Styela clava: one gene and its partners. The protein of the gene in region 1 purifies or fractionates together with the protein of each later gene. This does not show direct contact. Links are inferred from orthologs where the notes say so. Each region holds a gene or a part of one and is shown on either strand. Other genes may lie near its edges. The genes, in order: prohibitin 1-like, stomatin-like protein stl-1, ER membrane protein complex subunit 2-like and calnexin-like.

Evidence for each region.
Region 2: the proteins of prohibitin 1-like (region 1) and stomatin-like protein stl-1 purify together in Homo sapiens (affinity purification with western blotting; 3 studies listed by BioGRID, with this or other methods). This does not show direct contact. The link is inferred for Styela clava from reciprocal best matches to the Homo sapiens genes PHB1 and STOML2.
Region 3: the proteins of prohibitin 1-like (region 1) and ER membrane protein complex subunit 2-like purify together in Homo sapiens (affinity purification with mass spectrometry; 3 studies listed by BioGRID and IntAct, with this or other methods). This does not show direct contact. The link is inferred for Styela clava from reciprocal best matches to the Homo sapiens genes PHB1 and EMC2.
Region 4: the proteins of prohibitin 1-like (region 1) and calnexin-like purify together in Homo sapiens (affinity purification with mass spectrometry; 3 studies listed by BioGRID and IntAct, with this or other methods). This does not show direct contact. The link is inferred for Styela clava from reciprocal best matches to the Homo sapiens genes PHB1 and CANX.

The regions. Positions count from the first base shown.
Region 1 is NC_135261.1:10,477,090-10,484,817, reverse strand, and holds the start of prohibitin 1-like, read left to right. Parts: upstream 1-4,723; 5' UTR 4,724-4,806; coding exon 4,807-4,891; intron 4,892-5,152; coding exon 5,153-5,314; intron 5,315-5,560; coding exon 5,561-5,757; intron 5,758-6,268; coding exon 6,269-6,427; intron 6,428-6,505; coding exon 6,506-6,584; intron 6,585-7,728. Other genes in the region: uncharacterized protein LOC120330096, read right to left, coding at 1-927, 1,643-1,721.
Region 2 is NC_135257.1:11,813,821-11,821,685, forward strand, and holds the start of stomatin-like protein stl-1, read left to right. Parts: upstream 1-4,848; 5' UTR 4,849-4,900; coding exon 4,901-5,143; intron 5,144-5,577; coding exon 5,578-5,677; intron 5,678-5,810; coding exon 5,811-5,942; intron 5,943-6,241; coding exon 6,242-6,372; intron 6,373-6,506; coding exon 6,507-6,687; intron 6,688-6,910; coding exon 6,911-6,990; intron 6,991-7,262; coding exon 7,263-7,391; intron 7,392-7,547; coding exon 7,548-7,676; 3' UTR 7,677-7,865. Other genes in the region: uncharacterized protein LOC144425789, read right to left, coding at 3,565-3,830, 3,910-4,006. UniProt on the Homo sapiens protein: Mitochondrial protein that probably regulates the biogenesis and the activity of mitochondria.
Region 3 is NC_135255.1:16,047,313-16,054,564, reverse strand, and holds the start of ER membrane protein complex subunit 2-like, read right to left. Parts: upstream 3,009-7,252; 5' UTR 2,758-3,008; coding exon 2,736-2,757; intron 2,375-2,735; coding exon 2,241-2,374; intron 1,596-2,240; coding exon 1,465-1,595; intron 1,081-1,464; coding exon 1,023-1,080; intron 372-1,022; coding exon 286-371; intron 1-285. UniProt on the Homo sapiens protein: Part of the endoplasmic reticulum membrane protein complex (EMC) that enables the energy-independent insertion into endoplasmic reticulum membranes of newly synthesized membrane proteins.
Region 4 is NC_135250.1:5,735,836-5,743,524, forward strand, and holds the start of calnexin-like, read left to right. Parts: upstream 1-4,687; 5' UTR 4,688-4,754; coding exon 4,755-4,883; intron 4,884-5,149; coding exon 5,150-5,229; intron 5,230-5,952; coding exon 5,953-6,087; intron 6,088-6,991; coding exon 6,992-7,139; intron 7,140-7,226; coding exon 7,227-7,295; intron 7,296-7,689. Other genes in the region: peptidyl-prolyl cis-trans isomerase FKBP9-like, read left to right, coding at 767-912, 1,420-1,586, 2,047-2,244. UniProt on the Homo sapiens protein: Calcium-binding protein that interacts with newly synthesized monoglucosylated glycoproteins in the endoplasmic reticulum. It may act in assisting protein assembly and/or in the retention within the ER of unassembled protein subunits.

The DNA of each region.
Region 1 (7,728 bases):
TAATAAAAAGAGATGATATACAGCAGACAACAGCAAAAATGGCAGCCATTAATACTTTCCTTACTAGTCTTATCAACCTATTATTAGGTTCGCCACCTTGTCTGGCCTTATTCCGCTTTAACATCGGATATGTTAGAAGTGCAAGCAACGTAAATTGCATGATAACTGTATTAGCAGCCAAAAGGTACCAAGGTATAGCATCAGAAGACACAGAACAACCATTTGGAGGCAGAGGTTTGTAATGTGAATCCCCTTCCACCATAAAGTAAACCAAGTTTGCAAGATAACCCAAAACCAACACTAACAGTATCCACTTGCTTAAAAAACGAGTCGCTTTGTTGCTCAAATGATTCAGCTGGGGGCTGCTGTAAAATATCCTTTGTCGCACCCAGAAACTCATATACACAGTTAAGTAAACTAAAAATCCCACAAATATCTTTGGTTTTTTCAAATGCAAACATGCCATTTCGGAGCTCCGGCCCCATATTGTGTCCAGGTTAAGCAGTACACGGACTGCCGTAATAACTGCAGATAAAATAGTTAATGTGTTCAAAGCCATGGAATATAGGGCACCACTCTTTTTTGAAAAGAAATAGGAATTCCGGGTCGCCGTACCACGCTTGCGTATATGGTAGACAATAAAACAAAACACCACGTAGCAGTTAAGAAACAGCAATGTATATGAAAAAATTTCACTCAAAACCCACTGAAGGTGTAGTTCATGAGAAAATACTGCATGCGGAGCAGATGACGTTATATTACTAACGTAGTTAATGTCATTACCAGAAGTATTTCCCATTTGTTCTCCGTAGTTCGATCCACTTTTGATATTGAATTCGCCAACATCCAAAAACCTGTTACTTGTAAATTTCGGTACATATGTTACAGCATCATGCGATGTAGTATCCTCTTCAAAATATGATGGGGCTACAGAGAAAATAGTCAATTATACATAAACCAGTATTAGCACTTCATAGGATTGGAACTATTTTGAAATATAGCCTGAATTAGTTAAATCAGTCGTAATATATCAGGAATGAAATGAACAAGTGGGCTTAAAATCGATTATTGTCTACCTGGTCCTCTCGTCCAGGCAACAGAGGTTCAAATTTTCAAGATTTGGTTGAACAAAGGTTTGTTAACTTGGCAGAGATAATCAATCAGGAGACTTAATGAATTTAAACGTCAGAAACCCTAGTCTTTTGGTAAAGTCAGTATAAAATAATGCTTTTATATTTTGGTATGGTCAATACTTCTCGAAATGAGAATCGCCCAGCCACCACATCTCCTGCATGCTAATTTTTGATGTGAACTAAGAACGAGTAAGACGCTGTTCTGAATTTACGAGGTATTTATACTACAATAGTAATTAAATAGGTCTTCAAAAAATTTTATTTTTGAATGGTTGTTTTTAAAGTGCAAAGTAGTCGTAATAATTTAACTTTTTTAAGTTCAAATTCAATTTTACAAAAGAAGTAGAGGAAGAAGCATATTGTCTTGCAATATTTTTCAGACACATTTTTTATGATACCATAAAGATACAAATCTCTAATTTTATTTATTTGAAACTGCAGTCAACAATTTATCTCTGTCACGTATTATGACGTTACATATATTAATATTGTAAAGATCATTCCCATACTTGTAGTAATGTCTGCATAGTCAAAGTCGTGTTTGTGGTCACTTCCGAACCCGTTGTAGTCATAATAGTTATTTTCCATTATCCCCTAAAAAGGAAGCATACAAATGCAATTCAATATAATTTGCACCGAACTTAACATTTCGAAATAAATATGGCCTCAAAAATCGGAATGATAAACGGAAGGGAGCAAACAGAATTTTCTTTATATTAAATAAATGCTCTAATTTAAACTTTTTTTTATATAAAACTTTGATCTAGTCCTGCGCTAAATGATGCATATATATTTAAATCAGCATCAATCCCACCCTGTGGTAGAATAAAATTATTTTCGATTATTATCATTCAAACACAATAAGCTCACCGAAGTCTATGATAATCGAATAATAATAGTCATTTGACGTCGACTTGCACAAAAACCCTAAATTCTAGAAAATTAAGCTCTGGAAATTGGAAAGTGAATTAAATAATATATCATAATACCTAGTACGTTTTTTTTTTTCAGGTACTGACTGAACCTCGTCACAATTTTTTTGAAAAGACCATATATATTTTTATGCGTGGGCTATTACGCCTAATGTCCATATTGCACATGTAAAATAGCCTACACTGTTATACTTTAAAAGCATGCTATAAACTATCCATTCACCAAAAGATTTGTATATAGTGGTTGTACATTATCGCATTAAGATATACTATCACAACCTATAAACACTTTGAGATATGCCTGACAGAATAATTTCTACTACCTCATAACCATTATTCCAGTAATTTCGTCCTGCAATCAAATCTGTCTCTAACCGCACGTTATGGATAGTGCATAACCAGCACCAGCATTTGATGCAAACTGAAAAAATTATGTCAATGAGTTTCAATATAATACTGATTCATCTGTTTATATTGAGACAATTAGATCAACAATAAGTGATGTGACAAGTGTTTCGGTTTTGCAGTTTAGTTATTTTTTATTGCATTACAAAGCCAAGCATGTATCAAATTATTAATGCCTTTATGAGTCAAAACATTTCTTGTCAATTAAATACAACATACATATACAGTATATGAATTTGAATGAAGCAGCTATTTACGAAAATTTTGAAATAAGCAATATGTAAAATTGTAATATGTAAAATTGGAAAGTACCCGAACAATGATGAATATATATAGCATAATATATAAATATGACGAAGAACCAAGCGAAACCATGTAAGGCAGCAGAGGAAATCGAACAACCATAAAAGGCGCGAATGATGCTAACACTAATTGTTAAGCATTTTTCGGCATTTCGAAAACGTCGAACGATATGAAAAAATTAATGAAAGAGTACATTATTGAGCGAGCATTTAGAGAGATTCCGAAGCGATTCGAATCAACACGAATCGAAGCAATTTCAGGGAAGACGACTTGATTCTATTAAAAAGAATATCTATCGATTCAGACAACACGAGGCGATTGCATAACGCAGCGACGTTGTCACAAGATCGATTAAAGGCGTATTTTCGTTTATTTTCCGTGTGCTGGTTACAGATCTTCCCGATTCGTAACAATCCTTGGGTTGTTATATTTGATATGGGTCTAAACTAAAGCAATAGTTTAGCCCAATTTTGTTTGACTACTTAAAATGCTATGAAATTTTACAAGTTATACAATGTGATGTGCTCTTCGTAATCATTACTCCTTTCGAAATCATGGCGCAAACGGTATCGGAACACTAGCGTTTCTTATTCAGATGATTTTTGAAGGTTAAATTTAGAAGAAAACGAACACTATACGTCCGGAATATTTTGCATACAAAAGTTTATGTAATAAAAACAAATATGTAACTAAGTATGTAACTAAGTAAGCTCTATGTAACGAAAACAAATTTTTCCAGCCCTAATATATATATTTCATTCATTCATTAAATTTTTTTCTACTAACATTATTCAATTTCTAGTTCAATAATATTATTCAAGCAGAATTAATACTGTAGCTATTCTAAATTTAAAGAGAGTTAACGGTAAACTGATGGTATATTAAATATTCGAATCGGAACATTCTGATTCGATTCGAAAATAAGATATTCGAAACTTGTATCCCCAATCGCAACCACAAAAGCTGAGGCAATATATTCATTCATTCATATTCATTGGCGTTTTCATTTTATTTTCGAAACTAGAGTCAAGTTATTCCGATCAGCATGATTGATTTACCAGGTTTCATACGCACTCTGCTGTTCATTGTAGTTCGAAAAGTTTTTTTTTCGCCAACTTGATTTTTGGACGCGAAGTGTACATATGAATCGTTTTGTTATTAATTATGTTGTTGTGGTTGCTCTTGTTGATTTCCTTGTTAGGATTTTTATTGTTATGAAAAAATCGCTTTTCTTGTTACTTACTGAACTAATTGCTTACAAATTTTCAGCACCTAAAGACTGTAGTTTGCACTAGAAGGTAATTACTTTTATTAAATTCAAAAAATTCTGTGAGCTCTATGAGATTTGTTTTTGTGTGCTATGACGTCACCACAATTAAAAATTGCGCACCTCGTAGCGCTAGTATACTGTGACAGATTGCACACCCGCACTTTGTTGTTTTAGCCTTTTTATTTCCATATATTTGAGCAACACTCTCTTGTATTTAATTGTGTCATTTTTATTTTTTTCGAGAATATACGTTATTGTTTTTGTTGTAAACGTCATCGTAAATGTAAAATACCATATTGTTTTTAAGGCACTGCTTAAACCTAGGAATGTCATATCATTATTGAGTTTAGCTAAAACACTAATAAAAGAATAACAGTTGTGCGTAGGAATAGCTGAATGACGTTGATACCCTTGAAACATTCGCCCGACGGGCGCATACAAGGAACAAATTGAATTCGTTCAAAATATTCAGGTGGCTTGAGTAGAACAACATGTAGGGCGCGTGAATTTATTAATTACTGGTGATATAATATGCCAAAAACAAATTTCTATTCAATTATTTACATAAAAAATGGCACACGGAAGAAATAAAAAAACATTGAGATAGAAACCGGATTTGAAGCTCATGTATGACTCTGCAACCACCGCAATTTTTCCGATCTGCACCAATGCGATTCACACGTGATCTGGTGCAATCGCATTGTCGAATACCTCAACTTTTTCAAGTTATTGCTGATTTCTGACTCGACTAGACATTTAGAAGATGGAGGTTTTGTTTTCAAGGCTTGCGAAATTTGGTGTTGGTCTCGCTGTAGCTGGAAGCGTTGTGAACTCGGCTCTTTATAATGGTGGGTATGTTGATTGTTACATGCAGGCCTATGACTGTATCTGTATGACAGCGTGAAAAGGTACTGGTACATTATGAAGAATTTTTGAAACGTTGATTGAAAGTTTTTATCTCACAGTTGTAAAACTGAATTAGACTTTTGAGTCATGATGAAAAAAGCTGACTAGTTAGACTACTGGAACAGGAAATTTCTCTTGTCATATCCCTGTATCCTGTTTTTTCTATAATTTAATAACATATGTGAATTCATCTATATTTTCAGTTGATGCTGGATGCAGAGCAGTTATATTTGATAGATTTTCGGGTGTGAAAGAGACTGTGACAGGAGAGGGAACACACTTTCTTATTCCAGTCATTCAAAAACCTATTATTTTTGATATAAAAGCCAGACCAAGAAATATACCGGTGGTGACAGGTTCAAAAGGTATCATATAAAATTAATTCATTTTATCTTTGACTGAGAGAAACTTGAATTTCAATCAAAAATCTTTCATTTCATAATTTGGTTAGATTACATCATCAAAATCTGGGTCTGCAAATCTTATGCATTCTACAACATGACAATTCTCATTTCCAGGTTCTTTTATATAGCATCCATGTTCTGTTCTAGATCAAATTTACCAGATAATAATTATAATCAATACTTTTATCATTTTCATTTATTTTTCAGATTTACAAAATGTCAATATCACATTGCGTATTTTATTTCGTCCAAAGCCATCAATGTTGCCGAATATATTCACAACCGTCGGTGAAGATTATGACGAAAGAATTTTACCTTCAATCACAAATGAAGTTTTAAAGGCAGTAGTTGCTAGATTTGATGCCAGCGAGCTTATTACGCAGAGAGAAATCGTTTCACGACAGGTATGGTGTATTTGATTACCATTTGCAATTTTCTATAGTCGCCTTTGAAGAGTAGGAAGTTCAGTTACCCTGGTTTGGTCTAATAATATATTTGTACTTTCAGCCATTGACTTCCAAATCGTCGTATAAATCGCCATGTTACTTTGTGATTGTTAAAATTATACCACTACACAGTCTTTTTAAATTTGGAACTGATATTTTTACATTGTAGGACTGTATATGCCTCTCATTGTTAACTTTGACTATGCAAATAATACTCTATTGAAAATGTTTATAATGAAATAGTTTGAAAAAGGAAAGTGAACTGATTCAAATACCAATGCATATGGCCTTTGTAAACGCTTTTATTAAATGATAGTTTTAAATAAGCCAAAAAATTCAATTCAAGTTACAGATATTAACAAGTAAAGTTCATCCACTTAAAAGATATTATATCCTGTAGCTTGTTTTGCGGTGGTATAGTTATGTTTGCTTCTATTATAGTAATAACTAACTACACATAAATTATCAGGTCAGTGAAGATCTCGCTGAGAGGGCTGATGCATTCGGTATGATTCTTGATGATGTATCACTGACACATTTAACCTTCGGAAGAGAATTTACACACGCTGTCGAAGCAAAACAAGTCGCCCAGCAAGAAGCAGAACGAGCTAGATTTGTTGTGGAAAAGGTTTGAATTATATTTGGTAGATTAGCGCTTTGTCTCTTTTCGGGTATTTTAGATATTTTTATGTTTTTCTGTATTTAGGCTGAGCAACAGAAAATGGCTGCTGTTACAACGGCAGAAGGAGATGCCAAAGCTGCTCAACTTATCGCCAAAGCAATTGGTATGTTCATTATTTTATTTGCACTAGCTACTTCTGTTAGTGCAAACCCGTTATATGCATTGATGATTGTCGAATCACATAGCTCGGCAGTATGAATAGCTTACATTACAATCACTTAGTGCAGAGCGGGCAGTACACAGGATCACTTCGACTGGCAGCCAATTATCTAGATTCTTTTCATTTGAGTCGGTCATCAGTAGAGCTCGACCAATATCGATATATCGGCCAACTAGCGGCCGATAATCGATATTAATATAAATCATGTTGTGACCCACAAAATGGGCTTTTATGATGTACCTCGTGAGTCTGTAGTTTATTTTAATATTTATTTATTATACGGCTGATATTTTGCATAACCATGTTTCCAGAGTTATAAAGGGAGATCCCATGGTTAGGTGAACTGGTCGAAATATAATTAGTGTTTTGAAAACTGTTGAATGCTGAGAGTTAAAAATTGCACAGACTCTCAATATCTCATTCAGTTGATTAAAATGGATTCATTTATTTTTGTATAACTCTCACTAAAATGATGGCAACCAAGAAATTCAAAATTGCATTCAGGGAGGTCACAAATTTGGAACCAGTTTGATGACATTATTATATGATAACCGTATTGTTATTGTACAACAGCCATTGAAATGCATAAGTGCAATTATTTTTCATGGTAATAGATGAATAAAACAAGTCCCATTGAAAGAAGGTATTGCTATTAAAAGGACCCCAATCAATTTAGTCTTAATTACCTGTACCATGTTTCTGTGATTACTAACTCAACATCTCCAAATCGATTCTATTTATAGAACTAGCGCTTCTTTCAATAAAAAAATTGCCTTTTTCTCTTTGTGTACTCTCTCAAAACGTGATTTTAAATGTTACTCCGGATAATAACTTTTCAATCATCATCATGCATGAAAAGGCTAATCATATGTCACTGGGTATTAGGAGAGACACCTTTTTAATACAAAATGAAAGCAGAGAAAGATTGGGAAAACAGTTAGGAAGAGGCGAGAGTCGTTGAAGCACACAGCCCGACTAATGCGGATGTATATATCGGCAGTTTACCTTTATTCTTTTGTAGCCCACTTCTGTCGCCCATCAACGGTGGTCTAGTATGACTTTATGTAATGGTTTGTCTAGTCATCAG
Region 2 (7,865 bases), on another chromosome or scaffold:
GGGAGTAGAGCTGCAATCCTCTCTGGGATTGAAACCTGTGAAACTCCCAGGGTAATCAGAGATGCGGTGGCGAGCGTATTCCTAGATGGCGAATTCAATTGAATTCTGGTTATTTTTTGCATGACCACTGGTGTTAAACTTTAGTTATCTATTCAACCTTTCACACTTAGTAATAGATTACCTGCTAATTAGGGAAACCATACCTTATAGCAATTGATTATTAATTCCTTACTGTCTTACACAAGTCAAGTCTGCAACTGCAAGTAGGCCTACTAATAACAGTAGTTTGTCATCTGCTTTCCATTGAAATGAGGGAGCTTGTGAATATTTAAAGAAATTGATAACGGCACACTATCACCACATTATCACTCACCATCAACGAAGTGCTGTCCGCAAACAGTGAAACACATGTAAGATGGCTTCTGGACTTGACACCAAGCAGTTCTGCCAATGCAATAGATGATATCCACATTGCGCGACGCTCCGGATCTTTTGAAATCAGTGGAATATAACTGAAGATCCATTTCGTTGTCTATACTATACGTAGGGCCAACGGAACAATACGAAATAACCATTTTCAACAGCCAAACAAAACGGAAACGTATAATCCGACTTGCAACTGACAGGAGCCAAATGGACGTTTTTGTTTTATTGCCGTCCAGTAACAAAGTCACGTGACCCGTGCGAGTCCTTTATAGGAAGAATTTTTCGGAGGTCGAGGAAAGGTCCCCACCTTTTCATTCAAAATCTGTACGTTTCAAACCTTTCTTGAAATTTTGTTTTGTTTTTATCAATTACTTCATCGTCTATTATGCTGATTAGGGAGTCGAAATAAACTTATACTTATAAATAAACTCATACTTTACTATATAGATCAGTTCACATCAGATGATGCTGGCCTGCATAGAGTTTATCGTGGAAAACTGATCGAAGCTGGCGATAACATGAACAGTCAAACGTCAAATGTAACGGATATTTGATGATGGATTCTATAGAAAAGGACTACTTACACAAAGCACGTGAATTTTGATTACTGAAGTTGGAACGCCAGTGCGTGGAATGCTCTTGTCACATTTTACTCCGTTTGTTGTTGTTTTTCTTTTATGGTGCTCTTATTATTGTTGTATTTTGTCCAATAGACTATTAGTTGAGTGGTTTGTAATCAAATTAATTTTATTACATATTGCGAACCGCTTGATTGTTTGTTGTATTCTACAATTCACGTTATTATCTTGTACAAATATAGCAGAAATTACAATCCATGTTAAAACTCCACATACACACCCAAGTATTTACACGCCCGATTTATCTTTCGTGTCTCTTTTTCTTTAATTTACTTCAATGTGTTGTTTGATTGAGATGGTTGTTTGCTGTTTAGGGTAAGTGGGCACGTGCACCGGCACGTCTTAAATCTTTTTTAGATTTTGCCAACTTTCCTGATTTTCCTTACAATTGTTTGTTTTTCCATGTATTGCTTTGTTGTATTGGAAAATCGAAATAAACTTACCCTTACATAAATACTTCGCGACCCACCTCGTATAGATTCGCGCCCGACTGCTTGTGAAGCACTGCTTTAGCTCACGTATCAACATACATACATTTTCCGAGGGCCTGTAGTTAGTCAGTTTGGTACAAAATAGAATCCGGATTTAAACTTTGAACCCCATTAGGAAAGAACTGACTCTGATTACTTTATGGTCCTATCACCCCCCCCCCTCCCATGAAATCATGCATTTCGAACATTTTTTCGGTGAGAAGTACCCAGAAAATATAATACGATGGGGACAAAGTCCGTGAATTCTCAATGACAAGGAAAAACGATGATTTTGAAAACAACGAACTAGTCAGAAATTTCTTCTAATTTGAAAAATTCACCTATTTAACATGTCAATGTAAATATTCTCACGATTGTACTAATTAGGACACAACTTAAAATTTATTTCCATTCAAATACCATTTAAACTAAATTAACAGAGCCAAAACAATGCTGCACCAGTTTTGAACAACTTTACCATGGGTGGGCAAATGAAAAACATCACACGATACAAAGTCTGTCAAATTGAACTTTGCTGAAATATTATAGACCATCTTGCAAACGAATTATTTTGGGAAAGTTTCATTTACACCACAAATGTAATACCAGCCCTTCTTTTCGTTAATTTCGAAAAAGTCACTAAGAAAGACGGTCGAATTTTACAGGCTAATTTTGTTAGCATCGTCGATTGTTCTCTTCCGCGTTGCGTGATTATTTGGGAAATCAACATCGGCATTATGCAAGTTTTAAATTGATAAGAGGTTACATCCAGTGGTGGGATTCAAATTTTTTGTCAGCCGGTTTCTCCACAAAAGTCATATTTTTCAGTTACCAACCAGTAACTACTGCAAAATAAACAACATACAGCAAGGTCGCAATCAAAATTATGTAACCATGTTATTTAAAAGTAGCAATGTATCTAGGGAGGTGAAAAAAGCTGTTAATATATGCTCTGGGAGATGTCAGTTGCCACTCGCCACTTTACAAAAATCACTAATGCGCATATGCATTAACTGCTATATTATCCGTTTAACCGTCACAATAATATCCGGATATCGGACAACAAAATAACGCTCGGTTAGACGGTTACCCAGTTATCCGGATAATCCAACTCTAGTGGTAAGGTGTCCCGCGGACTGCTACGCCATCGTGACACCATCGACATCTTGCTGAATAGTTAAGTTACTATTTGATGTTACGGCGGTAAACACAGAATTGAGGAAGGGAAAACGTCAAACGACAACGATCACTTAGCGAGGCGAGAAAGATCGTAGGCACATGTTACGGTACCGTAAAACCGGCTAACTTCGGATGATTTCACTATATTTTGAACAATATCTCCGCCGCATGTTGTTCAACTGAAGCCAAATTTGGAATATAATACATTGTGGCTATTCTCGTCTTGATAAAGTCGGTTCCATATCCATCAAAGCCTTTTTTCATTGAAATTATTGTCTTTATTCGTCTATTCTAAAATTATCTAACTTCGGATGGCCACTTTTCTCTTTGCGTCAACTCGTCGTGAGAGAGAAATGTCTGCGTAAGCAATGACGCGTGACAACGTCGCTGAATAGACCTTACGCCGCCACGACCTGTCTTGCGTGTTGAATACTGACGTTTGTACGTGACGTTACTACGTGACGTTACTCTTGCCGCTTCGCGAAGCTTAACTATTTATTCTTGTGTCCATTATTATAACTCGTATATATTTCACTAACTACTCCTAATTTATTGCAAAATGCTAGTTCGTTCTTTTATGATCGTTTATTTTCAATGCAAGAAAAGGATTAACAAAAAAAAAAACGGAAGAATTGAAAGTACCTAACACTGGTGTAGGTTGAAATTGAAATGCAATATTGAACAAGTAAAGAATGAACAAAAATTAGACAATTAAAAATAAACGGATGAATCGAATGAAACACTGGCAAAAGTAAAAATTGAAATCAAAAAGCAATATGGAACAAGTAAGGTATGAACAAAAATTCGACAGTTAAAAATAAACAGATGAATTGAAGGAAACGCTGGCAAAATCAAGAATTGTAATCATTTCCACATGGGTTAGACGGGTCTTTGCAACAGTTCTTGTGGAACCAATGTGTTTCGCTGCAGCTTTCGCAACCGACCCATTCATCCTCAATTTCCGTACTTCCATTTGGATCATTCCATAATCCACAAGCAGAGAAGGTTTCGTCTTGATTATCACTTTTCATATTTTCTGATTTTCTCAGAGCTCCCCGTTGATCGGCTCGGCAGAGGTTCCTGCCCGGTGTGACTTTCGATCCTCGCTTTCGTTTCACTTAATAAAGTCAAATGACAATAAACGGATAAAAACGGCAAAATAAAACTTTGCCACTTTTTTTCATTTTGCGCCTCACCTGTATGTGGTCCAACCTCCTGCTGTGTGCATGTATGTAGAGTTCTACGCTCACCTGTTAAAGATATTATTATCATCTGCCGATCGTAAACAGACATATCTAATCATTATGATCGTATAGATACAGGTTTCAGGCCTAACGTATTACCAATTGCTACGGTATCTATCGGTGTCGGAGGAAGTATGCAAAAACAAAAATCGACAAATTTCATATGCATTAAGCGTATGCATACCCATATTTTTAAATAAACAACATATGACTGAGACGATAGTGATGTTTTTAGTGACTAGGATCATGGATAAGCATAATTTTTAAATTTCACAAAACTGGGCGCCGCGATGTCTGGCGTTCAAATGTCGCAGCGAGTAACGCACGAGCTACGCAAAGTGACGTCGGCTACGAAGAGAGAGAACGGGATTTGCGTCGTTGACGTCACGCTGTACGTAATCATCAAAACGTCGATATTTTGATGTAATTTTTAAATCAAAATAATCGATTTCACTCGAATCTCGTACGACACCTTGTGATCACTGTATTTTTTTGTATACATTGTGTACGCTCTCTAGCGCTTGGCGGTGATTTGACGAAGGTAGCGTCTGTAGAAGTCACGATTTGAGCCGCTCGAAAAAACGGTGTCATTTTTTTGGTAAAATATGATTTTTTGAATGATAAAAAATCAAATCGAGCGATTGGAGGCTACGGCAGATTCAGATATGTAAGGCCTTACTATAGAAACCGACAGAAGCGCAATACGACGAAATTTAGTTGAGATATGAATGATTGAAAATTTCATCCGAAGTTACAAGGCATCCGAAGTTAGCCGGTTTTACGGTACGTAACGGTATGTGTGTACACTGTACGATTTAGTCTTTCTGTCCTTGCTGTAAGGCTGCGGTTGGTCAGTTATGTTAGTACTAAAGTACCCCAACTTTTACCGTATTTTTAAGTAAATCATGCTCCATTTCAGCACCTAGTATTTGCATAGACTATCATGAATGTTTTATATAGAAGAGTATTAAATTCCTGTAGAAGGAGATTACTTAGTCCACCACAGGATTACTTGATTAATACTGAAAAATTCCACAAAGTCGGAAACTTAAAACTTCAACTACCTTTTTATCAACAACATGCTTGTTATTCTCGATTACCTGTCAATACAGTTTTCCTCTTTGTTCCACAACAAGAAGCTTGGATAATAGAAAGAATGGGAAAATTTCTGAAAATCTTACAGCCGGTGAGTTCCATAATGATGGCAAAGAAATTCACTACTTCACAGAATATATCCCATTTTGTATAACAGTAGACAATAAAAAGGAAGCAATCACCATTGAGTTTCTATGGTCTGATGGTAGCACTAGTATTTACCTTTTACTAGTTTATACTAAGATACATAATATTCATGAAAATTATGGATGGCTGAATCAAGCCAAATATCTGAATATTGTCTTGTCCAAAATTGTTTGAGAAGGACTAATCAATAAATATTTTGTAAGGATTCAAGACGTGGGAACTTGGCAATTATCATTATTTTATTGAAAAAACATCCATTTAGGTTATTTAAAATGTGAATTAATTGCAGTGATTATAGGAATTTTTATTTCTTAGAATATAGGGTTTTCAAATCTGAGTTGATTTTAAATGTTGCATTGAATTCATATTTTTATACAGGGTTTGAACATATTAATTCCTGTATTAGACAGAGTTAAATATGTTCAAATTTTAAAAGAACAAGCAATCAAAATTCCGGAACAAAGTGCTGTCACTAAAGGTATATAGTTTTTCATATTTCAATATATGTTTTAACTTGATTTTGTGTATATATCTTTTGGGAAGTGTTTTATAATCTGCTCTGCATCAGTTTTAATTTAAATATATTTCATCATACTTTGTTTCTATTACAGATAATGTTGGGCTGCACATTGATGGAGTGCTTTATGTGAAGGTTGTTGATCCGTATAAATCTAGCTATGGTGTGGAAGACCCAGAATATGCAGTAACACAACTTGCACAAACAACAATGCGATCAGAAATAGGTGCGATATTTTCAAAGCTTCTGGCTAAAAAAATTGAAATCGGCCCAGTGTGTGATTGTAGGTTGTCTAAATAAGTAAAATGGAGCAAAAATAAATTAATGATGTTTTAAAATGATGGTTTATAAATATTCAGATAATGGTATAGAGATTTGTGGATATTTTTGGTTAAAAGTTTTGTAACACCATATGGCCATGTTAAGAAAAAGAAAAATACTTGATATTGAAGTACTGTGAATCAGTATCACATGATAGAGATAAGGAAATCTGAGTTACTTTACTTCTTTGTTAAAATATTCCAGGTAAATTATCATTAGATGGAATATTTCGAGAAAGAGAAATATTAAATACCAATATTGTCATGGCGATTAACAATGCTTCAAAGGATGCATGGGGAATTCAATGTTTACGATATGAAATTAGAGATATACAAGTAAGTGGAGTCAATTTTCTACACTATTAATTAAAAAATGCAGAAAATGGAAGCAAATCATTTGGCATGTGTGAGATAAAGTTGCAAGTTCATCGAAAGTTTTATTTAAGTTCTACTTTCCACAACACCCACAGGTCCCAAAAAGAGTGCAGGAAGCAATGCAGACGCAGGTCGAAGCAGAAAGAAAGAAAAGAGCTGCAGTACTTGAATCTGAAGGGAAAAAAGAGGCTGATATTAATGTTGCACAGGGGAAGCGACAAGCACAAATCCTATCATCAGAAGCTTTTAAAATCGAGCAGATCAATAAAGCTGAAGGTTAAATAAGTCTATAATTGTGAATAATATGTGCACAACTTTTCTAAAACCAATTCAAATTATCTTTATTATATTGGAACTGAAATAGTAACAAATCGAAATGTGAATATATAAGCGAATGCCGAAAAAAGTTCATACTTTTTTGCAGGAAAAAAAATATTTCATAAAATGTTGAATGAATCGAATTTCCTTATCTGCTTTAATTTGCATATGTTTGTTCCAGGTGAAGCCAAAGCCATTATTGCGAAAGCTGAAGCCAGAGCTAGCTCTATTTTGATGGTTGCCGAATCTTTAGCAAATGAAGTGAGTACATTTTTTAAGAAGGCCTTTTAACCTTAATATTGCTTTTCAGGTTATAAATAGTGATTTATTGCTAGCGAGTATACTGCCCCATAAACATTAGCTCTTTTATGATTGATGACTTTTATAATATCTGGGCCATATTTGATTGATCCATATTCCTCAGAATGTCTTGAACAATACTGGAACCCATTTTACTTCCCCAGTTGATTGCTTCCCAATACTGCTACTTTATATATAAGTTCGTATAGTGAATATTTTGTGTTAATGCCTAGCATGGATCAAGTGCTGCTGGACTCACTATAGCAGAGCAATATGTAAATGCATTCGGCAACCTTGCAAAGGAAGGGAACACAATATTACTGCCATCGAATACAGGCGACGTATCAAGTATGGTCACCCAGGTAACAAAAATTCAATATTGTGTAATTAAAAAATATGGGATACTAAAAACTACTACTAAAATACCACATTTTGTCATGGTGGTAATTCAATGTTATGTGGAGTGACTGATTCAATATTGCTTCTCTTTTCGAATCTCACATTAAATATATTTGCAGGCAATGGCTATTTACAAAAATATGCAGTCTGTTCCTAATATAAAACTGAACACCAAGGGACTTCTACAAGATGGTGAAATTCATAATGATGACAAAGTAGTGCAAAATTCAACTACAGACGACAAATGATCCATTGACTTTGATTGATCAAAATTCAACGAAGTTCTGTGGAAACGATTTTGGAGGCATTGTCATTCTTCAATGGATTTAAAGAAAAGTTGCTTCTCTCTAGATACAAACGTGTTTGTATGTACATGCCCGATATGGAGAATAGTTCTCAGGGTATGAATCTGCATACTCGGTACTTGCTAGTTGTAT
Region 3 (7,252 bases), on another chromosome or scaffold:
TTTATTTGTTTCTTTATTAATTTTTATCTAAAGGTGATGTAGACACAATGACGGAGCAATTCGTTCTTCACAACTCCTGTCATTTCCATATTACCCAAGATGTTGGAACTTTTTTGATTGCTCAAGTGATAAATAAAATAACTTAACATGGAACTAATCTGTTCTAGCGAAAAAACACTGAGAATGCATGAGCAATGCACTCCGTGTATTATTGGATACCTTTTCCACATTCAGTGAAAGAAATTCAAAACAAAGTTACAACATAAGCTCATGAAAGAATCTTACGTTTTGAGGTATTCCGTTAAACTCTTTATTGCATCTGATGTTTTACCTTGCGCTTTCAATATTGCGGTTCTCCGTTTCCTGATGGCCTATAGAGGTTTGAAAATAAAAATAATTGACAAGGAATATAATAACATGCCACATTATCTTCCTAATTTAAATCTGTAGATGGCCTGGCCAATCTAAAGCATATACACAAAGTTGAAATGGGAATTATTGTAATGTATACTAACTGGAAATTTACCAGGAAACATGATAATATATTCATAAAACTTATTTCAGTTGCTAACAACAAATCCACATCAGGAATTGAAGTCATTGACAACTTTGATAAAAAAGGTTTTATATTTTAAATAAGTCGAGCCTGTTAAACAATGGTTTTCAACCATTCTGATGGAACCAGAACTCAAACATTATAGAGGGTTGAGAAAATCCTGTGCAATTATACCTGTGTATTAGAACATATTTGAACAATATACATATATAAATATTAACTCTGGGATATGAATGAAAACTTATGGAACACCTGGACGATATTATTAGAATTCCAGGACGCCATATAGCATCGATTGAAAACCACTGCTGTCGACTAATACAGATAGTAAAAATTTTAATCGTTATCGCAGTAAAGTGACTACATGAATTAATGTGTACCAAGCGATGAGATGATGTGATTTCTCAGGACTTATTTCAATCTAAAAAAAAAATCAATAGCAAATATTGAATAAGCTCAAACTTACAGCGTTTGTTGGATCATTTTTTTCTATTTCTTCATATATAGTTAATGCTTCTTCATAACTGTAGAAATATATTTCATGTGTAGATTTTATATTGGGATCGACATTACTTAAAAACATCACATTTTTCAAATGAACTAGTCATTCCTATAAGCAGTGATGTATGGGCTATTAGGAATGCGACAAGATTCAGACTCGTGCCTGGATTTGTGGCCCAATCTCTTGTATTTTGATACTTGGATTCGGCCTCAGCCTTTGATGATTTTACCAGAGTCCGGGACATCATACGTCACGCGATGCCAAACACAGTTCACTGATGGTTTCTCAAAATGAAAACAGTGCTTTGAAATAAATATATTCCAAAATTTCATTTGAATCAAATTGACCACATAAATCAGCACCAGATATTGAACCCTAATTACAAAAGTAAACAAGAAAAACTTACTCTCCATAAGCTTCAAATTGTATTCCAAGTAATTTTTTTACTCTGTCACTATCTGGAAATCTCGTTTCTAATTTTTTAAGACAGATATCTGATAAATCGTATCGACATGTGTCTAATGCTGCTATGAAGACCTAGAATATAGAAAAAGGTTACTTGCACTAAGGAATAAACGACCCAATCTTCTAGCAGTTTATCATAAGCTTTTTTGATTGGTTGCAACTTGGCTACGCCGATACCTTTAAAACAAATAAAAAAAATGTTGGTACTAAATACGAACTAACAAAAAAAGGGTGTGGTGTAGTTTTGTACCTCTTAAAGTACTCCTGGTGGGCGTAGCATATTTTTGCATATGTCAATTCTAACCCCCCCCTGAGTGCGTCATCCAAAAATTACATCAATTCACAGTGACGTAAGAGGGCCCTTCAAACTATGCGAAGTGTCATCCAAGACGCGCAGACGATCACCCGAAATCGAGCTATTTCTCTCCGTTTTCTCGTTGCAACAATCCCGATACAAGAGAGATCGTTGTCGTTAGTGAGTTCTTTATCGTCGATGCAGATGCCATTTCGGGCGATCGTAGGTATACTTTGGCAAGCGCTATGACGTGTTTATGACATCGTATTTTTGGATGATGTATTCAGGTGGGGGGGATAGGATTTACATGTGTAAAAATCGTTATGCTACCTACGTCCACTAGAAGTACTTGAGGTATGAAACTACACGAGACCCCTAAAAGATTATAAAGTTAATAAAAAAACAATTTATTACAGTATTACCTGTTCACAAATCAACCACATTTCATCTCCGAATCTATGAGAATATTTTCGGATTAATCTTTCGCCAATCTCAACAATAGTTATGCTATCTCTTACATGTTCATCTCTCATTTCACGAAGTCTTTTACAAGCAGCTGTTGTTTAAAAAAAAAGTTGAGAAAAGATGATTGGAGGAGAGATGAAAACCAATCAGCATTCAGAAATACATTAGAAAATAAAACTTATTCCAAACTCTTCCATGGCACAAAGATATAGCCTATTCATGAAAGTTTCCAAAACTCGAAATGTTGTTTCATATAAAAATACAAACCTACCGGTACAGACCTAAGCCACTCATGGCTGCATGACATAAAATAAAAGTGAAAAAACACTGAATGAGATACCGTAAGAGGCTGTTACTACAGTAATCGGTTTTGAGTATAATATGGTACCGGTACCGGTAGTCTGGTAGTTTAGAAATTCCATATACCGGTAACAGTATCCCCTGATGCTCACCTTCAGGATTGAAATCCTCCATATTGTGATATTATGATCGTATTTCACTAGCTAGACAAGATGAATTATCTGGAATATTCTACTGTTCTAAGAACTATTGTAAAGTTACAAACTCCAAGCAAAAGGAGGCAATACACCGTATTCAGTTATTATCCAGCTAAACAATCGCGCAGAGAACCAAAACTTAGCAAGAAAACCAGGCTGGTGACGAGCCGCGACGGTGATTCAGCATATGCCACTGGCTTGCTTATTAGTATCCGGACAAATCCGGCCCGCAGAGACTAATCATCAGGCTCGCTGAACTCCTATTCAAAAAAAGGAATCTCAATTGAGAAATCTGCTCGTTTAAATTAACTTTGTTCACATTTATTTTCTATCAAGTAAGCTTTTCTATTGTTATCATGTTCAATTTATTGCGCAAGAATCGGTAACGCCATTGTTTCTGTACCCGAACCCGCTGTCATAGATCCTTGCGGTGAACAAAGACAAGGATAGCGGGTTAGGAAAGGATAGGATTTCTGAGAGAGGTGGGTTATCACGCAAAAATTTTTGTAGAAAATTTGATTCTATATGATTTTTTAAGATTTTTGGCGTTTACCGTTTGCGTAAAATGGACTTCGTTTGCAAGACTCGAATTTTTTAAAAGTCGGCCTTGCCGAAATCGAACGCAAATTAGTATGCCCGTTGAGAGAGAGAGAGAGAGAGAGAGAGATTTTATTATTTCGTCAACCAAAAAACGTAAAAAATAGTCATCAGTAAAATAGCACTAGCAAAAAAAAATTTTTTTTTGGTATGGACAGGAGGAAGCGATACGACCATACGGTCATCGAAGTCAGCTCCCACCATATATGCTGATTTTATTAAGATAACACTGAAAGATGACCAGTGACAAAACTACTTAAACTATTACATTAATATTTTTACAATAAAATTCTGAATAAAATTAGGAGACTCGTGGGTAAATGCATTGTTATGAGTATTTTTAAAAGAAAGAAAATAGAAGAAAACAAAAAAGGAAGGGGGGTGTCCTATGTTAATCTAAAGCGACCAGAATAATGCTATGGAAATTTAATATTTAGCTGAAAACTAAATTACTAAATTCATAAATTCAATTGGGCTTGAGACGATAATAAATAGAAATAATAAATAATTGGATATATATAAACAGTGGATCAGGGACAAAATTTTAATGTGACGAGAATGTGGAAAATATTTTAGTGCAACTTAGTGATACATACACAGTATTAGGAAAGTAAATAACAAAAACATGAAAATATTAATTGAACTCCCGCAGTATGTGTACCATGTTTGGGCCAGACCCAAATCCTATCCAGACCTTCTTTATCTTAGTTCCAACAAGGGCTTGGGAGCAAATGAGTTTCTTTCCAAACAGGACTCAGTCACCTCATATAACCCGATGTAAAGCAGGCGAACAGAACCAGTTACCCGCCCACTGGTACACATACTACTACATACATTAATTAATCAACAACACATAGCAATATCATATACACCAAAATATATGAAAGAAGCACCATTCCATTGATCAACAATAGCAATGATAGTAATTAAATAAACACTGGTATGGTGAAAGGACCTTGACACAAACCTGCAACAATGTAGAGCAGTAAGTTGTGTGTATTGAGAAGAAATATTACAAGTGATTTGAGCTATGGGAGTGGAACTTATCCATTACACAACACAACTAAAAATACGAATATAGTCAGGAATGACTGAAATGCAGGGTAAAAGTAATTGGAATTGCACAATCAATTTGGCTAAGAGATTTAACATTATTCAATTATGACAAGTGCAACTGCACAACATATACCGTAATGAAAATTGAGCAATTAGAGGAAACTTTGTTCCAAAAAATCTCGAAATATAATAATAGATACCACACATAACTGATAACATTTGAATTGAACAACAATGATAGTAACTATTATAGTGACAAACAATTGTGATGCAGAGATGAAAATTGACATTTTGGTAATTCCATTCTTGCAAGTAATGAAAATAAAGAGCATCATTGGGAAAGTTAACTATGAAAAGTACATATGCTAAAAGCAGTCAAATTTTATCAGGTAACAATATAAGGGTTTACGCCTACGGTAACTACTATAACCTCATATTATGTCAAAAAGTACAAATGCTGAATAGTTTATAGTTTGGCTTATGATGAAAACTGTTGGTGTTACATGCAAGCTAACTCATGTACTATATATAGCTATCACATCAGGAGGAAAATTAAATTTCTATATAGAAAAGAGCTGACTTAATAGATTATATTTGCAAAGATAAAGATGCAAATCGTGAGTGAAATAGTTATTAAGATGCAAAAAAAAAAAAAATACACAAAATATATCCCTACACATATTAATATTTATTTATGAGATACTTCATATACTTATATTTGAAACAGCTATAAGACGAATCTATGATTTCATTGGGAATAGAGTTCCAAATACTTGGACCAGTAATTTTAATGGAGTCGCGGGCCAGACTGGAACTTGTCCGACTAACAAAATATGCTCCTCTACCCGCTAAACGAGTGTTGTATTGGTGGACATTACTACAATTTGTGAAGTAGCTATCGAAAATTTCAGGCAGAATTCCATGTTTAAATTGAAACATGATTTTCGCTATTTCGAATTTATATACATCAGCTACTGTAAGAATATTCATCTTTTTATAACTGGGACTTATTCTCTCACGAAAACGAGTACCACTCATTAACCTTACTGCACGATTTTGAAGTATTCTAATCCTATCCATATAAGTCTTAGGGGCAGAACCCCATGCCACAATTCCATATTGAAGATGTGAGTAAAATAGAGCAAAATATACGGTTCTTAATACCTTTTCAGATACAAACGGTCTCAGTTTAGACATAGCACCTATGGCTCTGGACAGTCTACCTGCAAGTTGATTAATATGCCTATGCCAGTTTAGCTTATTGTCTAGAATAACTCCAAGATATTTGACAGAGTCACAGATACTAAGTAATGAGTCGTTTAGTATAAATTTTGGAGTGAGGTTCGAATTTTTAAGGCTTTTGCTACAATTAATCAATAAGACTTGGGATTTACTAGGATTGACAGTTAGCTTGTTTTTAATTAGCCATTCTGATATACAATAGAGATCCCTATTAACTATATTTTCTAGGTCGGACAGATTTTTTGCAGCGAAAGTAGCACTAGTATCATCAGCGAAAAGTTTAATTGGAGCCCTAATGGCATTGACAATATCATTTACATGAATTAAAAAAAGGGTAGGCCCCAGAACTGAGCCCTGGGGGACCCCTACCGACACCTTTTCACTCATCGATTGACAACCAACCAAACTTACAAATTGACGTCTATTTTGCAAATAACTTTTGAACAATTTATTGGCTACTCCCCGAATTCCATAGTAATTAAGTTTTGTAATTAAGATATCATGATCCACTGTATCGAATGCTTTTTTCAAATCCAGAAATACACTACAACCTAATGAGCCTTCATCTATAACGTTATAGTAATGGCTGATAATATCTAATATAGCATGTGAAGTGCAATGTCCATCCCTAAAGCCAAATTGGTCCCTATTTAGAATTGAGTTTTTGTCCAAAAAAGATTTCAGTCTCTTTAGTAATACTTTCTCATAAAGAATTGAAAGACAAGACAGTACCGAGATGGGGCGATAATTTGACACGGTTTCCTTATTTCCAGATTTGTAAACCGGTACAACTCTGGCAACCTTCAAATGCCTGGGGAAAATACCCAGGGTCATGGAGATGTTGAAAAGATTACACAGGGTTGGACTAATGATGGTCTTTAAAATTTTAATCAAATAGACCGGAACGCGGTCGTGACCTTCTGCTTTACCAGTCGCAAGCGTGGAAATAAGCATTTCAATTTCGTTGGTGGTGGTGGGCTCTAGATACATTGACGATTTAATGGGTTGCTTTAAATATTTCATAAAATCGTAATTGCTGTTTGAAAAAGCTGAGGCAAGCGTCGGCCCAATCTGGGAAAAATAATTATTAAAAACATTACAAATGTCAACTGGATCTTCAGTTGATTTATTAAGAGTCTCATCACGCAGAGTGTTCGGATGATTTTTTTTTAATTTTTTATTAATGATTGAGTTGATGGTATTCCATGTCATTTTCGAATCTTTTCTATACTTATCGAAACATTTTGCAAAGTACTCCTCCTTTGCTCTATTTTTAATATGAGAGAGAGTGTTGGAATATTTCTTATATTGGCGTTTTTCAATATCAGTGCCATTTAAAAATAAAGTTTTATGTAATTTATCTCGTTTTTTTGCAGACCGTAATATTCCAGGTGTAATCCATGGTTTTTGCTTCAATCGACGTTCCTTTCTACTAACTTTTTTCAAGGGGGCATATTTATCAATTAAATTTCTTAGTCGGTTGACAGATTCATTAAAAACTATGTCATAATCATCAGCTCCTACCTCAGTACTCAACATGTCATTTCTAAAAATAAATTGGGCATCAGTTAAAAATT
Region 4 (7,689 bases), on another chromosome or scaffold:
CACTGTTACGACTTCCTCTGCCACACTCACTCTTTCTTAACCTGGGTTTGATCGAACCCCTCATTGAAGCTGTTTCTGGGGTTCGACGAAGGTCCCCTGAAACAGTTGTACAGTATACAATCTTTCATGTACCCAGCTGACTAATTTGCGAAAATAACTATATAGTCCATCACAGATACCCAAACTTCTACGTTTAAACAACTCATAAAATAGTTTATCTATGTGTGACTTCACGCAGACATATGTTTCAATGGGCCTGTCAATGACTGCTACACCACAGATTCCAGTACATTTCATCAAAAATCCATATCGTCACAGATGTAGCAGGCAGGCTTAAGTGACTTTTATATGATAGCGCTTTCTGCTTATGGTCATCAAATATCTTAGATTGTTATGTCAAACCTTGGCATTTAAAACTGAATATTCATGTCAATTCATACTTTACTAATAAAGGAACTCAGTTTTACGGACAAGTCGACAATAGGAAATTCGTATACCTAAAAGAATATAAAATCAAGGCGTGTTTGATATCGCTAAGTGATTCTTTTGTGGCAAAGAATATTTCATTACTGAGCTTCGCTTAAAACTTTCATTATATGTTCTGGACAATCTCAACATAGCACTGGTATCTTTTATGCTATTTCTATGTCTATAAAACAATGGACAAACGCTCTTATCCGCATTGGAAAAAGTTGGAAGTTTGGGATTGGCCTGTTGGGTCATTTGTCATGTTAGGTAATTATCTAATATAGTTTCTTATTTACAGTAAGAACAGAGAAGGGACTTGGGCAACGTACAACGGAAGAGGTCGAGTCATACTTGGTCTTCAAAATATGCTAACAGGAATGTGTGTAGGGGAGATCAGAAAAGGAGTTGTACCACCTCATCTCGGTTTTGGAGAACCTGGTGCAGGTAGAGTTATACAGCGGAGGTTTTGATTTCAAACATAAATCTCCCTGTTTTAAGTTTGTGAATATTGGATATAGGGTACTCCCGTAGTTTGTTAGGGTAGGCCATAATTTTATTCCGATTTTTCTTATTTTAGTTCTATTACGAGTTCGGGGAATATCTGTGTTAGCCAAATGAAAATACCCCCTGCCCATAGGCTTTCACATCTTTACACAGCGTGATGTAAAGTATGCGAACAAAATTAGTAACACAAACTTTTGGAGCGTCGAATAAAGACCCCTGCACATTGAGTCGAGGGTAATCTGAATCTCAAGTCGAGTCCAAATTTGAGTCAATTCCTCTGTTGTGTCTCACTGGTGGTTATTCGATATTGATTCCAAGTCATTCCATTGAGTGTTCAATAAATTGTGACTCTGGTCCTACTCAAGTCGAACTCGAGTCCCCCCAAATCTGTTTTTATTCATTAAATAATTTTGTTTTTCAATCTTTTATCAAATTTGTTTCATTCAGATGGTATACCTGGTAGTGCTGTTCTGGTATATACTGTGGAACTGCATAAAATTGAAGACTCTCTACCTAACGGAATGTTATTCATGTGGAAGGAAGGCAAATCTGAACCTGAGAATCTTTTCTCGTTGATTGATGATGATGCCAATGGAAAAGTTTCTATTGATGAGGTACACAATGAAAACATTTTATGTAACAATAAATATCATTTTTGATTTTTGAAGTTCAGTACTTACGTAATCTAGACACAATGCAATAGACTTAACTATGCTGACATCGCAGGTTTGAAATCTTGGGTTGAAATGCCATGCCCACCATCTCACCTGGGGGTGTAATAAGCCTGGTAATGCCGAACTGGAAAAATGTTCGTTTCACCAAAAACAGTAAATTTTACATATTAGTGGATGCTTGACATATTTGGGAGTGATGAAATGAAAATGTATTAAAAATCTTGGTTTACCAAAAAAGCATACAATACTCGCCGACAATTGTTGGGTAACTAAAATTCCCAATCTTTTTCGATTAGATATTGGATTTCGAACTCTGGGTATCAGTGCGCCATAGCCAGTTTTGGTTCTACACAACTTCCCTTTCTCCAGTAAAACTTATCTTTCGATATACTTCCTGCAGTTGATGTCATACATTGTTAAAGAAGTTGACGCTGGTAACGGCAAACTTCTTCCTGGTGCTGAGAAGGAAAAAACGATTGAAAATCTATTCAAGGTGATGGATAAAGATGAAGATGGTTTTCTACAAGAAAAAGAGCTGGAATTTCCGACTCCACAGTTTGAAGGCATCATAGGAGAGAAAGTTGATGATGAACTGTGACTTCTCAATATTTCTTCAATAGGAAATTTTTTATTTTTTTGAAGATAAAAATTCCACTGCCAACTATCAATCAAAACTATGAAATTTAATACATTTTCTGTAAAGGTGCTAGTGGGTATTACTATATAATCAAATACACAATTATAACAAGTGTAGGCATTTTTTAAATGATCAGTGTTGTTTAGTCGTAATTGGAATTTAGAGTTAAATTTCGTTGATGTCACTGCAAAAATCATTGAAAGTTGAAGTTATTCTTAAGTTGAAACTTTTTTAAAATTTTTTGGGGTTTGGTATAACACTATCTGTTAGTTTATTGTTGCCATATACTGATTTCACCTTAATCACTGCTCTGTTTATATTGTTTCAATATCAGCATATTGCCTATTAGGATCCATTCCAAATATTCTTTATCATGTTATAATTGTAGAACAAGTATGAAATTTTCATTTACGTATTGCAGTTTGCACAACTGAAGTCTTATTTGTAAGCAGTATTAACTTTTTTACTTTCGAATGTGCCAATAAATTCATCAATTTTGCAAACTTTTGATATTAATTTTGAGCTATCTTTGGGGTTATGAAGACCGATTACAGATTGCGATAGACGGTCCCTATCCATCATCCCCAACAGGTAAAAATAGAAATCTTATTCTATGAATTATCATATTTATAATGGGAAAACAAGTTCTCGACGTCTGATTTTTACATACATTTGTGTAATACGATGTTAACACTACTATTCATGTAGAAAAGTATGGTTTGTACCCAGAAATCTCAGTAAAATAGGGCGCTTTGCACGAGAGTTATATTTTCTGTAGCTTTTGTTCCAAATGACCGGAGTTCTGTTGTATCAAAATCAGGTTAGGCATTATCGCATTGAGTTTCATAATTTATATTCTACGTCACAGGGTGAGATTGCACATACCATTATTCTCACCTGATTCGAAATCATGGCGAATTTCCGCCGTATGTGATTGTTGCATTGTAAGTATTACCGTATTTTGTGCCACGGCTGAGTTAAATCCCTATCTATCGTAAACTTGTCGCCAGACACCGTACGCTCTGTTTCGCGTAGTTTTATTTAGTAATTCTTATCTGCGTGGAAGGGATTTAACAGCAGGTAGTCGTCAATGTGATTTATGTCAACATTTTAATGTCTTGAGCTAACAAATGGCGCAAGAATTACGCATACTATCCATGTCACGCCGTGTAAATTTAAATCGGACATCGACCACTCACAGATCACCACGCATCGAGGAATAAATTAAACAAACACTATCACGTGCTTGGTCTCGCATGAATAGTGAGGAAGCGTGTTTCGCGTGATAGGGATTTTCAATTCATATTGCCAGATATTACTGTATTACATAAGTATAAAATGATAGAATATACATTTTATTAGTTATTCACGACCATGTCATGAGCAGTAAACAAGTTTTAGGCCTGTATTTTATTTAACGTAATAGCTGGTCCCTGGTGAAATCATGGAATAAGTTGGAGAAACCCAACGACCAACAGCTAAATTCTACTACCGGTACTGCACTACTGAAATAAGAAAACTTTCGATTTTTGTTGAGCTACTGCTTTGGAATGAATTCACGGTTTAGGCTATGTACAACGCGATGGCATTATTTGGCCCATTTCTGTTAATCGATATTAGGGTAGATACTGAGATAGAGGTTCTAAAGAAGAGATGTTGGGATGTAAATTTTAAGTTCATTAATTTTGAATTTACCGTTTTGAATTACAGAATTAGATTACGGTAGTTGATCAATCGGTTGACAGGTTTAGGATAGGATTTAACTATTTATCCCGGGGATAGGAAAGCCGATAAGAAGGCTGGCGAACTCTTGTCCGGTTACCATTCCGGCATTCCACGTTGGGTATGCAGGTATGGGATTAGTTAGTTATTTGTTTTCGGAAGCATGGACTTGGAGCAATGGCATCTAGAACTTTAGAAGCAAGTGGAAACCCTGGCCTGCTAGCTGATTACCAAATTCTTTTCATTCCAGTAATAGAGTCTGAGAGCGTTGGTATGCATAGTCGTTTGATATCATTACATGAGCAGATGAAAGTGGGTACCACAGTGTTCATTTCAGCATTTATGCACCGTACTGGTAGGGGTATGATTTCTCAATTTTGCACTGGATCTGCCAATTAGAATTGATATTTATTTCCAAATCTCGCTCTTTTCTGCTTGGCTATTGTAATTCTGTAGTATAAGCAGAATTTGCTGCTCTGAAATGTACAAGAAATGATATATATAATTCTGTAATTCGCGATTTGAGAGTTTTTTAAATATTGAAATCATTCGGATAATTTTGTTAACCCCAATTCCCGAATTCAAAATTAAAACTGTAATTCTGTAATTGAATTATGTGAGCTATAGTAAAACTTTAGGGCTTCAACTATCAGATATTATTAATTTATTTACTGATTTTCTTTTTTATTTTGAAGTAATATTTAATAATATTTAGTAATTCCACATGAGTCAATAACCCAGGATTAAAAATGGTTGTCATTAAATTTGGATTAGTATTTCTTTTAATTTTGTTCTCTGGATTCGGCTTGAACATGGCCGAGGATGATGATGAGGCAGAAGTAGTTGTTGAAGAAGCAGTTGAAGAACCAGAATCCACAGTAAGATTCTTCATATTGTAGAATTTTAAGGGGTATTTCCTCAACCTTTGACCTCCAGAAATTCTTCCTATAGTAACTAGACTGCAATTTGCCCTTTTTATTGTTTTATTGTAATCCAAATTGTTATTTTTTATAATCTATAAATGCTTTGAATCTATGGACTGATGGATAATAATCGTAACAGCATTTTACAGCACCATCATATTAAAAGAATTCTTTATTTTGTTCTGTATATTATTCGTTAATACGAACTATTTTTGTTCCAGATAACAAAATATGAGAAACCGGTTCCCAAAGGCCACGTCAACTTTGCAGAACCTTTCGATAAAGCAGATTCTATTAATGGGTATGATAAATGCAGTAATTTCAATTTGAATATTTATTGAATGGTTGTTAATTAATTTTTATCTTGATTTTCATCCGTACTTAGCATAAGAAACATCGTAATTGTAATGCTAAATTAATTGCAATGGGTTGTGGAGGTCCCATCTTACTGTTATATAATCACAGTCTGGTTACAACTTCACTCTTATATGAGCCGAGTGCAAAGAACGCCTTGTTGTTGCTGCTGACTACGAAGCAGGGGTTGGCAATTACCAGTAGTGGAAGTTTGAATTAGGGCATATAAAATTGGTAACATAATATTCAACTCATGAAATACTTCTGTACTTATTGGCCATGCATGTATCATTGCGAATTCACGACACTGAACGTCATTTGGCAAAGGGAAGCAAGGGACATACAATACTGGAATTCAATGAATGGTGTTCTGCCATTAACAACCTTCGTATAGTTGTGTATTGAACCTTTGACCCGATGTTCAACTGTTACCAAGGGATTCCCACACCTAGACTTGTAACCAGATGAGAGGCACCTTTTCTTGCCTCCAGTTTTAGTATAAAAAATCTTATTCTAAATACTGGTTATTTATTGCCATTATGATATAACAAATAATTACTTTTAGTTTGTTTTTATGGCTTTTCATTTTCGTGCTTTGCTTGAGCTTCCAACAAAATTTGAATTTTTTTGTAATGCATATAATATTATTTTAATTTTTATTGTGTTTTAGTTGGAAAATTTCTGAAGCAAAAAAAGATGGTGTTGATGAAGAAATATCAAAATATAATGGTCGTTGGGAAGTTGTTCAACCCATTACACCACTGTTAGATGGCGATTTGGGATTAGTTTTGAAAGATAAAGCGAGGTTAGTATTTTGGTACTCTTGTAATAAGTGTACCAGGTTCGGGGACTGTTTGTGTTATCCAATTGAATATACCCCCTGCCCGTAGGCTTCCGTCCCTTTACATAACTTGATGTAAAGTAGGCGAACATAACTAGTTACTTCTATATTGGTAAGCATACTTCTGGAGCGCCATTATTTTTAGTGGCATTTCATTTGCAATGTCATTTTTGCATTCCTGTATATTTTTAAATTTTGAAGAGGAGTTACTGTTCCTGTCTCAATTCAATTTGAAACCCATCCGTTTTTAAACAGTTCGCAGTTGACATCTGACTTATGATATGGTTATTCTAATGCAATATCCTGAAATGACTCATTTGTCAGTCTATCTGTAACCGGTTTGGATCTAAACTGTATACATCAGCATTGTTTGTATATACGTTTGTGTTTGCTGTAATTACTGTTGGAATGCATCATTGTTCAGTATTGTATACAACACTTATTCGGGCTTTTCCCTCTGTACAAGGCCATGTAGGCATCCACTGATATTCAATGACATTTTTTTGAAAGTCTGAGATCTTTCTTGTTCCTTATTGTTTACTCAATTTATTATGCTGTTGTATAAAACAATAAAATATATATTAATAGGTGCTCCAAAAGTATATAAACCAATATGGAAGTAACTACTACTGATGTAAGTAACCTACTTTACATCAAGTTGTGTAAAGGGACTGAAACCTATGGGCTGGGGTTATATTCACTCGACTAACACAGACAGTCCCCGACTCGTAATAGAACTAAAATAGGAAAAATCAGTATCAAATTATGGCCTATCCCTAACTTGGTACACATACTACGTGAGTACCTTTTAATTTTTGTGATGCAACAGATCTTTATAAATTATAAATATAATATGTCTTTATTTTAGACATCATGCAATTTCTGTCGACCTGTCAAAGCCATATGAATTTGATGGAGAACCATTTGTCATGCAGTATGAAGTCAATTTCCAAAATGGAATCGAATGTGGTGGTGGCTATGTAAAACTCCTTTCAAAAACTGAAGATGTTACCTTAGTAAGTTTTTATCAATAAAACGTCAATTCTCTTTTCTATCAATATCGTAAAAGCATTTTCAACAAACCAACTATTTTACATTTTCAGAAAACTTTCAACGATAAAACACCGTACACAATTATGTTTGGGCCAGACAAATGCGGGGAAGATTATAAGGTAAATTTTCTTGTTGACGTAGTTCTGTTTTAAATTGAATATGGATTTGAATTCTAGATGTCTGTACAGAGAAATCGAACATTTTGGCAAAATGTGGAGTCGTGTAAAAATCACACTTTATTCCAAGCCATTCAACAATGGCATAGATTTTAGAGTTGGACTCTAGTCTTGAACTCCAAGAAAAGCAAATTTGTTTGAATAGAACTCTTAGTCAAATTGATGGTTTCAAAATCACAGGAGTCATAATTTTTGATTCTTTAGAATAGTGATGTGGAATTTCAGGTGTTGATAATTTAAGGAAAAATGTGCATACACAAAAGATTTTGGTAGCAAAATGAATATTTTCGAATTTCTGTCCATCCCATCCAAATGTCTGTATCTTAATGTCTGTCTA